Linked DNA regions of Schizosaccharomyces pombe. The protein of the gene in region 2 interacts with the protein of the main gene of each other region in a pairwise test. Each region holds a gene or a part of one and is shown on either strand. Other genes may lie near its edges. The genes, in order: abo2 and spt16.

Region 1 (6,855 bases), 2.2 Mb from region 2:
ATTTTGGAGTTTTTGATTTTATTTTATTCTTTCTTATTAATCAAAATTATCATACCGATTTTCCACTACAAGAGGCACCACTAATTTTTTCTTGTTAATAAAAATTCATTAAAACAATTGCCTGTAGAACTTACCTAACCCCAACAATGATAGTTTTCCGAGTCATTCTAATGATAATATGGAAAAATGAAGGTAAAAATTGAGACAAGAAGCCTGGACAGAAGCTGGATACTGGAATTCGGTCTGTTATATTTGCACAACACAATTAATTAATTACCAGCCAAAAGCTGTAAGACAGGTTAACCGAATTTTAAAAAGAATTTGGATTTAAACAAAGCGCCTAGTATCTTAAATCAAGCTCGATGATTATTTGTTATGGAAATAAACGAGAATTTTAAAAAGATATGTGGTAAAGAAGCCGAATCCACAAAATTTTATAACAACCAACAAAACTTTTAGATATACAAGAACAAGTAAAAGATCACTTATAACGATTTCGCAAGTATAAGAAAATGGAAAAAGAAAGGAGTATACAAATTCTTTACGGTATAAATGGAGGATTTGAAAGATAATTTAAATTCACCAAATATTAACGCTTTCGAATACGTATAAGAATTTTTATATGGCAAATATGCCCGGTAAAGATTAATGGTGTTTTGAGTTATTGATCGTTTAAAACAAGAGTGAAATAGGAGGAAGGCTGGAGTTGGTAGTATGAAGATATGGTTAGTAGTATAATCAGTCAATAATACAAGGCTTTGGATGATAGCAATATACTAATCCGCTCCCGTCATGTATCCTTTACGAAAAGATAGGGTAGATAATAAGAGTAAAAAATACAATTTTTGTTTAAAATATATATATTTTTTGATTAGATAAAAAAAAGTGGTTCACTTTTTTTATTTATTTAGCCAAAGTATGTAGGAAATTGGAATTCTTTAATTGTTTTGCGAAAATTATTTTATTAATTATTGCTTTTTCCTTTCAAATTTGTGATAAACTATGTCTGAATAATATTAGTTTGCTATTTTCATTTTTTAAGTCGTTTTAATGTCTTTTGCTTATTGTTTACATTACACTTACTTAGTTCTACGGTAGCAAAGTTTTTATCAACTCCATGAAATGCGAATATTTCGATGAATTTAAAAAATATATGTATATTGGTTGAGTTTCTTGAGGCCTTGTTAAACGATTTTTGTAGTACTACACTTAGTAAATATAAAATTTTTTAACACTAGGTGTTTGGCTTCAGTTTTCCAATTTGACTAGCTTCAATTGCTTTTCCAAAAAAAAAATAAAAAAATAAATAAAATATAATAAAGCTATAAATTGCATGTAAATTGGATGAAACAATAGAATTAGTAATAATAATAAATACTGAATTCAAACATTAAGGAAATTTAAGGACACTATTTTAAAAATGAAATCAATATTGATCGAATTTCAATGGATCTGTATTGAATGCCAATGTAATTAGGAAATTAAAAGACCTTTTGGTTTAATAAAAAAATAAAAAAAGCCGTACCGATCTCTACCTTTGTTCATTATATCAATCTAATATGAGACGTAAAACTACGGATTATGAATAGTAAGTTTTCAAAGAGATTATAAAATAATACTCTTTGCATAAATTCTTCTCATCCTTTCAATTAACAGCGAAACGACGAAACACTGACAATCAATTAAATAAAAAAAAATACTATATCAGTGAGGAACGTCAAGTGAAGCTCAAGATTCGAAGTTGGCAATGAACTTTTATCCTCATAGAATTTCAAATCTATCCACATGTCTGTAAACAATGCATCAATGTATGGATATTACCAATGTACTAAACTGATCGTGGACAAATAATCTCAGAAAAGTCAATTTTTAAACAATATTGTTTTTGTAAAGATACTACTTCTGTTGTTTAGTCCAAAAATCCACTTACTCTACTATGTGCTTTCCTTTTCTTATAACGCATTGTTACGAACTTCATTTATTTACTTTTCCTTACAAACCTTCCATTCGTAAACCAGCATGTGGAAAACCTAAGATATCCCAAATTTTTTGGAGCCTTTAATTGTGCAATTGTAAATAAAAAATCTACATAACAAATTGTCTTAACCAAGTTGACAACGTCTTAATTTGTTGGTGCCAGCAGTGCATTTTGCGTGCAATGCGCAGAAGGGCCAGATCCATTCGTTTTAGTTCTGACGATAATGAAGATAATGAAGAAGATGATGATTATTACTCCAACGCACACAGCGAAAAATCAGAGGATCATTCAAATCATATAAAAGTTTCACATTTTGATCCTTCCTCCTATAAACAAAAGTTAGTTTCAGTGCGTGAAACTCAAAGAAATAGAAAATTCTCTTCGTTACAGAAACATCTAAACACAGAAACGCCTTCTTTTTCTGTTTCTATAGAAAATCCTTCAAAGCCTTCTGCGGCATTCAATGATGCATCATTGGGAAAGAAGAGTACTGAACATCAAATTGATGGTATCAGAAATGGAAGTAGTAACCTTCAAATGGAAGGAAATGATAAAGAGCTAGACACTGATAATAATGAGGACGAATCCACTACCTTTAAGGATGAAGAAGACGATTTGATAAGTCCGAAATCATATCTTACTTCTTCAAAAACCTTTTCGTATCCAAAAGCTCCAACAGAATCAACAAATGGTGATTATTTAGATGAAGACTACGTAGATGGACAAAGTGATCCTGAGTCTTCGAACGCCAGTGATTCTGACTTCGCGGATAGCCCTGATGATTTGACAAAAGTGCGCTCACCCATTCCAAGTAGAAGAGGACGTAGAAAAAGAAAAATGAGAGGTCCAATTTTGCCAGTTAAAAAAAATTTAAGGGTCAAGAAGGCAATGAGTCCTCTTCGCGCTGAGCGAAATTCACCAGATTTCCGACGCAAACTTCGTAGTCGTGACAATCGACCGAATTATCATTTATTTGACTATTACAACGAAATTGCATCTTCCCCAAATCCTTCAACAACGAAGATTACTTATAATCCGCCAAAATTGCCTATGAAAGATTTTGCTACTCTTCCCATCGGTTATCAAAGTACTTGCGATAGTGATGAAACGAGTGAGTTGAGCAGTACAAGTTCAGAGCAAACTTCCGACGTTGAAGGACTTAATGCTTACAATAATTTGGGCGCTAGTTCAGATATTGAGAATGCTCCCTCCTCTCAACTTCACTTTGGTCACATAGACGAAAAGACGATTAGAAGTACTGACCCTTTTGCCAATAGGGAAAATCTTGATTTCAATTCCATAGGAGGACTGGAAGATATTATACTTCAACTGAAAGAAATGGTGATGCTTCCTTTGTTATATCCAGAAGTATTCTTACATCTGCACATCACACCTCCTAGAGGTGTCTTGTTTCATGGTCCTCCAGGGACTGGAAAAACACTAATGGCTAGGGTGTTGGCCGCTAACTGCTCGACCAAAAATCAAAAAATTAGTTTCTTCTTGAGAAAAGGGTCTGATTGTTTAAGCAAATGGGTTGGCGAAGCAGAAAGGCAACTTAGGCTTTTATTCGAAGAAGCTAGAAGAGTACAACCCAGCATCATATTCTTTGATGAAATAGATGGGCTTGCTCCTATTCGATCTTCAAAACAAGAGCAAACTCACAGTTCCATTGTCTCCACCTTGCTTGCTTTAATGGATGGCCTCGATACGCGTGGACAAGTAGTAGTAATTGGTGCTACTAATCGTCCCAACGATCTTGACCCGGCCTTAAGGAGACCCGGTAGATTTGATCGCGAATTCTACTTCCCTCTACCAAATAAGCAAGCACGTATGAAAATTCTTGAAATCAATTCTTTACATTTTTCTCCAAAAATACCAGAGAGCTACTTATTACACTTAGCGGAATCTACGTCTGGTTATGGTGGAGCAGATTTAAAAGCTTTATGCACCGAAGCAGCCCTTAATGCAGTTCGACGCACCTTCCCCCAAATTTACACATCTTCTGACAAATTTTTAATTGACCTGAATGAAATATCCGTTAGCATTTGCGATTTTGTAGTCGCATCTGAGAAGATTGCTGTTTCTACACGAAGAAGTGATGTTAAGCCGAATATACCTATTACGGATTCCCACAAAATTCTGTTTAAGAAAAGTATTGAGGTTATAACGTCAAAAATTAGACGACTATTAAAACTTGACGTATATTTACCAACGGTCGAGTCTTTACAAAAACTTCCTGCTGAAGAGTTGATGAGGCAAAAAGAAATTAACTCTCTAAAAACTACCATGTCATTCCGCCCAAGACTATTGATTACTGATATTTATGGATATGGATGTACTTATTTAAGCAAAGTGCTTTTCTCTATGTTAGATGGTATCCACGTGCAGTCTTTGGATATTTCTGAGTTGTTAATGGACACAACCACATCTCCGAGGTCTTTGTTAACCAAGATATTCTCTGAAGCCCGAAAAAATGCGCCAAGTATTATATTTATCAATAACGTAGAAAAATGGCCATCTCTATTTTCACATAGCTTTTTGTCAATGTTCCTTCTTTTATTAGATTCAATTTCCCCTTTAGAACCTGTCATGTTACTGGGGTTTGCTAATACTAATCAAGAAAAATTGTCGTCTACCGTCCGCTCCTGGTTTCCTTCTCATCGAAGCGAATATCATGACTTGTCGTTTCCTGATTATTCATCAAGATACTCTTTTTTCCATTACTTGCTTAAACGTATTTCATTCCTTCCCATTCACCAAAAGAGCGCCGAAGCAGCAAGCGTTGATATTTTACCCAAAGTACTACCAGTTTCTAAAACATCAGATTTAACCGACAAAGTAAACCGAAGACAAAGAAAGAACGACAAGAAAATAAAAAACAAAATTCAGGTTAAACTTAGCTCAATACTTGAAATGCTTCGCTCTCGTTATAAAAAGTTCAAAAAACCGATAATAGATTTAAATGACATTTACATTGATGAGTCGAACGAAAGGGTGGTAAAAGGAAAATCGAAGGATAATTTTGAGTATTTCCTTTCAGGAAATACAGTCACTCGTAAAAAAGACAATGCTTGTTTCAAAATGATGAACTTTGAGGAAATTGAAAGACGCTTATGGAGTGGACGTTACTGTACTCCTAAAGAGTTTTTGCGTGATATCAAAATGATCAAACAAGATGCGATCCTGTCTGGCGACGTGAACCTCAAACACAAAGCCAAAGAAATGTTTGCGCATGCCGAATTAAATGTTGATGAGTTGATTGATGCAAAGCTGTTGTATGATTGTTGTCAAGTCTCCAAGAGGGAAAAGGCATATAAACAACTAAAACAAAAAAAACTGAACAATGCAAAGGATGCTCATGAGATGCAAGAATCAAAGAATGAAGAAACATTTGTGAGAAACGATGTTGCACAAGAAGACAATTTCATTGAGCTTTCGTCAAATGAGGTTCGCAACGTTTCTAATGATGAACATAAACATACTTTATTTCATGGACAATCACTTACTCATAACAATTTGATTGCTGTCACTCCACCTAGCAGGACTGGTGTTGAACACAAAGAAGAGAACAAAAAATACGATAACGTAAATATTCAAAAAACCTTGGCAAAATGTGCAGAGGAATTTGCTGAACATACCAATTTTAATAAGGTGGAACTACTAGATTTTGTTTATTCCAAATTGTCATCCACTATTTGGGAAAATCGTGAGGAGCATGATCTTCTTAAGATAGTTCGGGATGTAAGACAAACTTTCTTTCGGTCGCTTGAGGATATGGGTGTTTAATGAAATTTTGGGTTAATGTGTCTAAGCGATCTGTTAGTGAGATACAACAAATCTAAATGATAGTTGGTAATGAATGAAAGCTCACAATAAAAGATAGGAACCACGAAAGAAGATACATTTGAAATTGAAAAGCTAATATCGGTTTCCGATGACACAGAATAGTACGTCCTTTGAATTACCAGCATATTTTCCATTTGCATTTAAAAGATAGTAAAATGGACGATCGCGAATTTTCAGAGTGATTGGGTTTTTCTGTAGGGAGTAAGTAACGATTGATACGTCTTTTCTTGGAACAATTAATGATTTAGAAAAATAAAGCTTGTTAAATGGTGATAAAAATCCAGTTACAATTTCAAACCGTTGGGATGGTAAGGTAGAAATTGAATAAATATTTCGTCTTGGTAAAAATAAAATCAACGTTAAAGTAAAGTAAAGAGCAGGAGTAATAAAAGCAGATCCAATATAAGATAATTTCTCGTAATAATCCATATCGACCCAATTGGCAAATATCTCATCTTTTGCGCGATATATGTCAACACTGGCAAAAGAAGTAATCACACAGACATTTATAAGCATCCCGACAGTTAATAAATAAATAAGACTGATTTTCTTATCTGCTTTTGCTTGATATACAAGAAAAGGCTCCCGAGTTGTCATTGCTTGCCAAGCAATTTTCGCTGGGGTTGCATTCCGTTTTGAGGTAATATCTTTCAGTATGTTAGAGTTATGGAATTTTTTGATGGGCGGCTTATTAAACACTCTCAATATTGATATTTCCGAGAAAGACTTCTGAATTGGACGCAATGACCTAAACATAGGATTGAACATATTTGTTGAAACAATTCGAGACAACAACGCCTTATGCCTAGCAACACGTATATTAAAGATTAGCATACTCATAACTTCGCAACATGAAAATGTTCAATTGATCAGCTTAACCCTTTAATTAATTAAATTACCCGTGTAAATTCAAGGGTGAAGAATTGAATGTAAATACGTGTAAACATTTTAGCAAATGTTTTACGCATTCGAATAATACTTAGTGGATTATTGTCCGTTTGATATTACCAAATAGAGAATCCCAATGAGAA
Region 2 (5,678 bases):
TCATCGTTTAGGTGTACGTAATGCTATTGTATGTAATTACGATGGCCGCAAGTTTCCCAACGAAGTAATTGGCGGTTTTGACCGTGTTCTCCTTGACGCCCCATGTTCGGGTACTGGTGTTATATATAAAGATCAGTCTGTTAAAACTAACAAATCTGAAAGGGATTTTGATACTCTTAGCCATTTACAAAGGCAATTGCTTCTAAGCGCTATTGATTCTGTCAATGCTGACAGCAAAACCGGTGGTTTTATCGTGTATTCTACTTGCAGTATTACTGTTGACGAAGATGAAGCAGTTATTCAATATGCTTTAAAGAAGCGCCCTAATGTTAAGCTAGTGTCCACTGGACTTGAATTTGGACGTGAAGGGTTTACCCGTTTTCGTGAAAAAAGATTTCATCCAAGTCTAAAGTTAACTAGACGTTATTATCCTCATGTTCACAATATAGACGGTTTTTTCGTTGCCAAACTGAAAAAGATTTCTGATAAAATCCCTACTGTAAATGTGGCTGATGATATGAAGGATGGAACAAATAATGATGTTGAAATTGAAAAGAATTCTACTGAAATTGATAATATTACTTTCAATGATGAAGCCGATAAGGAGATTATCGAGCAGAATCGTCGCAAATGGTTGAAGTCTAAAGGTTATAAGGTTGCAAAAAAAAAGGATTAGAATAATTTTGGTTAGGTTGGGATTACACAATAAAAGGTAACTGAACATTGATTCGCGTGTTACTACAACAATTATATTAATAGGTTGTCGTAAAGAGCCGGTCTTTATATTTTTGTATCAATCCATCTGGTTGTCAAATCTCAATTCAGTGGAATATTTTATTATAAAGTATTCTGGAATTTTTAGAATAAACTACATATAAATAATAAGAAAGTGAAGTAAATTTGTGAGTTTACCGGTGTCTCTTTTTAGATGGTCTTTCTTCAAAAGCATCGTGCTTAGCATCTTCTTGACGTGCTTTACGCTCCAATTCATCCCAATCTTCACCACTTTCTTCATCCTCCACTTCGCTTTCACTGTAACCATCCTCTTCACTAGCATCTTCGCTGTACTCCTCAGATTCTTCTTCCTCTTCATCAGAAGGGTCGGCATCAGAAGCTTCATACTCAGAAACCTCTTCGACACTATCATCTCCTTCATCATCACTCGGAGCTCCCAAAAATCCCCATCCTCCTTCTTCAAAGAATGCAATGGGGTCCTCGTTGACAGTTTTCATAATCGTGGTCCAGTTCAAATTAAGAGGACCTTCATAGAAGCATATATCGCATGAATCGAGCCATTCCTTTACATTATCTAATTGCTCCATTGGAATTGTATTGATATGAATCGGAGGGCGGCGGAAGTCTTGAAAGATGAAAACCAAATCAAAATTTTTTAAACCAAATTGTACACGCTCCAAGTGTGCAATTTCAATTTCGTTTAGTGTAATTACAGTAAATGGTGTGTCTGTCAATTGAACTAGGCAATCAGTAGTCGGCTGCAATAAAACATTGGAACGGAAGGGAACACCATTGAATGCAAGTTCGCGAAATGGAATGTCTAATTCAATTCGTCCCTCACTTGCTTCAGCGATTTTTTCAGCAAATGATTTAAATTCGCGATCTAATTGAGCACGACGCCGTCTTTCTTCTTGTTCTTGCTCCAATTCATCTTCATCACCATACATGTATTTCCGCTTCTTGTTTCCAGTTTCGTCAAACTGAATATCAGAAACTTCGCGATAAAATTGCACGTCCTGGGTCTTCCTTTTTCCCACCATGATCGGAGCTTTCAGATGAACATGAATAAGAACGATAAGCTCGCCTTCACATGGCTGGAAAAAGAGATGCTTCATATTAGAAAACAAAAGATCAATGTGGCTATCTGAACGTAATGGCGATTGATACCGAATACCATTTTGGTGTATCTCAATGAATCCAGGCAACCGTTTCCCGTCAATAGCAGGGCGAACGTAAACATCATTTATATGAGCAGGTCTCTTGTTCTTTATTTCAATTAATTTATCTTGCTCAATAACATCAGCAAACTCCTTACGTTCAGTTTCACGCTTGGTAGCTGCTTTCTTCATATCTTGGATGTCCTTGAATACTTGCGACATTCTAGAATTATTTGAACTTCTGAAAGTAAAGCTTCGTATGAATTGGGCATTAGGGTCCTCAAACGGTAACTCATCCTTTTTACCGCCAATCTGGCCAGGACTTACGAAATTTAGTCGTAAATACACAAAATTTCCCTCATCGTTTTTACTAGCATTTTTTAAAGTAGATATATGGAACGGGACAGGCCGACCGAAAATGGGTAAAATAATACTTTGAGCTCGATAATCTACTAGAATACGTAACTCACCAATTGCTTGTGGAAGTTGCGAGTCACGCTTGTACGACTCAAATCGTTTGACAGTGGGTTTTTCGATGCCGCTAGACGGAACAGAACCTTGAGCAAATCGTTGCAATCCCTCAGCCTGTTTTCGCGATGCTAGTTGCTTTTGATGCTCAACACGCCTCTTTTCAGCAGAATCATCCAAGTCTCTGGTTTCACTTCGAGTCTTTCCTTTATGACTTGATATAGTTGCCGTTCCCCGAGTAGGTGGTTTGCGTGGCTTTACGCCGTCTTCAAGAGAAGAATCATCTTCACCAAAGAAGTAGGATATATCACCTTGAGCTTTTGGAGAATCAGTAAATACGATTGGATCACTTCTTGTTATTTGAATTGTGTCAATCAATAAAAGAGCATACTCTTTAGACTGAGAATTTTTAGGATGAGGATTAATCAAATTCCCAAATCCAATGCTAAGATTTAGAGTCATCCCGGCTTGAAGAACGCGTGGGTTTTTGGCATTTACTAAAAGTGAAGATTCGCGAAATTCAATGCCAATGCCGGCACCTAGATTTCTTACAAAATTAGGTTCGAGATCAGGACGTTTAGCACGTATAAGACCCAAAATTTTCGTATATATGTCCCCAATAACAGCGCCATCTCTGCAGTATTCGAACAACTTTTTCTGAAGCGCTACTAAAAAAGAGTAATTTTTCTGTTGTTCGGAATCAGGATCAAATAAATAAGTGCGACCAACATTAGAACAATACGATTTGTAGCGAAACCCTAAAGAGCATAGGACGACGTCCCCATGAAGATTTCTATCATCTGTTATAGCAGAAGGCTTCAAATCATAACTACCCCCCGATTGAATAATGGGAGTATAACACCACTCTAGTTGATCCAAGTCTATGTCTCCTAGTTTCAAAGATTTTGTTTGAAAAAAAGCCTCGTTATCAATAAGGCTTTCCATCTGATCCGAAAACTTAGAGTGAGTTATTTTTTTTCCTTGGTCAATATAAGTCGAAAGTTCATCAACAAAATATTTACTCATAACCGCAACACTAACCCGCGATGCTCCTTTTATATTAGCAAGTTCTTGTTCGTCCTTTATAGCAAGACACTTTGCTAAGCCAAGCGATGCATCCACAAGATTAAATTCTGATTTCACTGGTTCAAAAATTGAGTCCCATTCATTAATGAATTTTCCTTGTGTTTTATCCTTAGGAAATACTCCGACCTTTTTATTGGTGGCTCTAATATACTCTATTATTTTTTCAAAAAGCTTTTTATTTTCCTCAGCATCTTTCGTTCTCTTCAAGATGTTAACGTCAGCTGCAGCCCCCTTGGTTTCAGCCAATTTCGTTAACATATTGGCCTTGTTAACTGATGTAAGGATTGTGATTCGATGCTTTTCAAGAAGTATTAAAGTCGATGGAAATTCATAACCCAAGAGCCATGTATGTAGTGCAGTGGACTTTTGATATGGATTCGTATCATCATGAGCCCCTACTGTTACTAAAATACTGTCGCAGTCTTGAAACAGCGTCTTTCCGTCTTCCTCATTCTTCCAGGAGGTAAGAAGTATGCCCAAGCGTTTATGAAATGTAATTTCGTCTATTTCATATTCAGCCATTTTACCTTTAATTAACGATTTAAGATATATTCACTCTTTAGCGAATAGTTATTTTATCTGAAAGGGCAAAAAGGCTTTTTCTTACAAAATTTCTTAAAATTTTGTAAAAAAGAAACAGGAATTGTTTTATTTTTTTTTTATTGATTGATAGCTTTTTTTGATATCTTGTGGATGGAGGTGGGTAAGTGGTAGTACTTTTGAATGTAGATATATAGGGCTGGGATTTCTGCGACGCGACTCGACTTACGCTGCATGTGTTCTAGCTTGATTATTTGAGCTTGTTAATGTTTATAATAGACCACAAGCATCATAAAAAAATAAAATTTATTTATTTATTTTTTGGTTCTTCAAGAGCAGGATGAATATCACGCTTTGCTGTATATAATCGTAAACGGTTGGACAAGCTTTATAATTTTTGGAGCACGAATACTATACATACATGTCTGAATACGTCTACGTACATATATGAGCTGTAGTAATTTAAAAAATCATTTACCTACGTCAAGCAATCCAAAGACAATAGATATTACTTAATGCTTTAGTTATTGAAAAGTGGCACAAATTCTGGAGCACTCAGCTTTAAACGGATTAAATTGATTTGCTTGGTAAAATGAACTGAGTAGAACAAATTATAAAACTACAACGCAAAACTAGTAAGCCATTTATAAAGATCATTTTTACCCGGTATACCTTTGCTTTAGATGAAACTAATTTTGAAATGCACCATTAAAAATAAGGTATATTAAGTGGTTTGTAACCCTTTTACGCGACTAACCAGTTAAATACCAATTTTATCTTAAAAGTATATACGGTATTATCCCCATGAAATTTTTAAAATGTTTTGTATAGCTGACGAACATCGTATTGAAGTGTTTTTGGCTTAAAGACAAAATTTAGTTTACTAAATCTTCAACCGTTACTGGTGGTAGTTTTAATTATACATGGCTAAATGGATCAGCAACTTTATTGTTAATTTAAATAATCCATAAGGAGCGATATCTTAAGCTTCGGAACAAATAATAGCAAGAAATACGTTTCATATCTGGTTATCATGATATTTTTGTCTTTCCAACCAGTGAAGTCAATAAAAATATAAGTTCTTGGGTCAACACGGAGTAACAAAATATACAAATATCTTAAATATAACTTTGTTGTAAGCCTTATTGGTGATATAGGGTATGGCTTAAAATTCAAAAAACGAATTTACAATTTATTAGAATTTGTTCAATATTTTTTATGAAACTTACCACGAAATACTGGATATAGTAATAATATATAGTAAATGCAAAATATGCGCTGCTATTAAAATCAATTTCTAGTGCTGATCCAGGTAATGCCACATTTCATGAAGAAAACAAAAAAACGAATATCCAGATCCTTATATCATGGATCTCATCCATTTTATGTAGGCAGAAAAACGAACTACTACTACGAAAAATGGGGTTCGGTTATATGAGTCCGTGAAAAAACGGCGCTTACATACACACGAACACTCATGCATATATAAAGAGTATGTTTACAAAACAAATAAAACGTTTTTTGTATCACAAAACCTCAAATTGGGTCTACTTGAGTTAATATCGTCTTTTTTGCGGTATATTTGTTCTCAATCCCTTTTCTTTCTGAGAATCCTTTGCATACCAAATTCGCTATTTGCTGAGGAAAATTTAACACATAAATTCTGCTTTATAACTATATTTAGGACCATTT

The links.
Region 1: the proteins of spt16 (region 2) and abo2 interact in a two-hybrid assay, tested with the Schizosaccharomyces pombe proteins (one large-scale study listed by BioGRID).

What each region holds. Positions count from the first base shown.
Region 1 is NC_003423.3:1,437,876-1,444,730, reverse strand, and holds abo2 (ATPase histone chaperone), read left to right. Parts: upstream 1-2,009; 5' UTR 2,010-2,158; coding exon 2,159-5,764; 3' UTR 5,765-5,896; downstream 5,897-6,855. Other genes in the region: nrk1 (nicotinamide riboside kinase), read right to left, coding at 56-80, 135-166; SPOM_SPBP22H7.04 (uncharacterized protein), read right to left, coding at 5,897-6,664. UniProt on the Schizosaccharomyces pombe protein: Probable ATPase which may play a role in nucleosome organization.
Region 2 is NC_003423.3:3,669,749-3,675,426, reverse strand, and holds spt16 (histone H2A-H2B chaperone, FACT complex subunit Spt16), read right to left. Parts: upstream 4,148-5,678; 5' UTR 3,969-4,147; coding exon 909-3,968; 3' UTR 805-908; downstream 1-804. Other genes in the region: RNA methyltransferase Nop2, read left to right, coding at 1-676.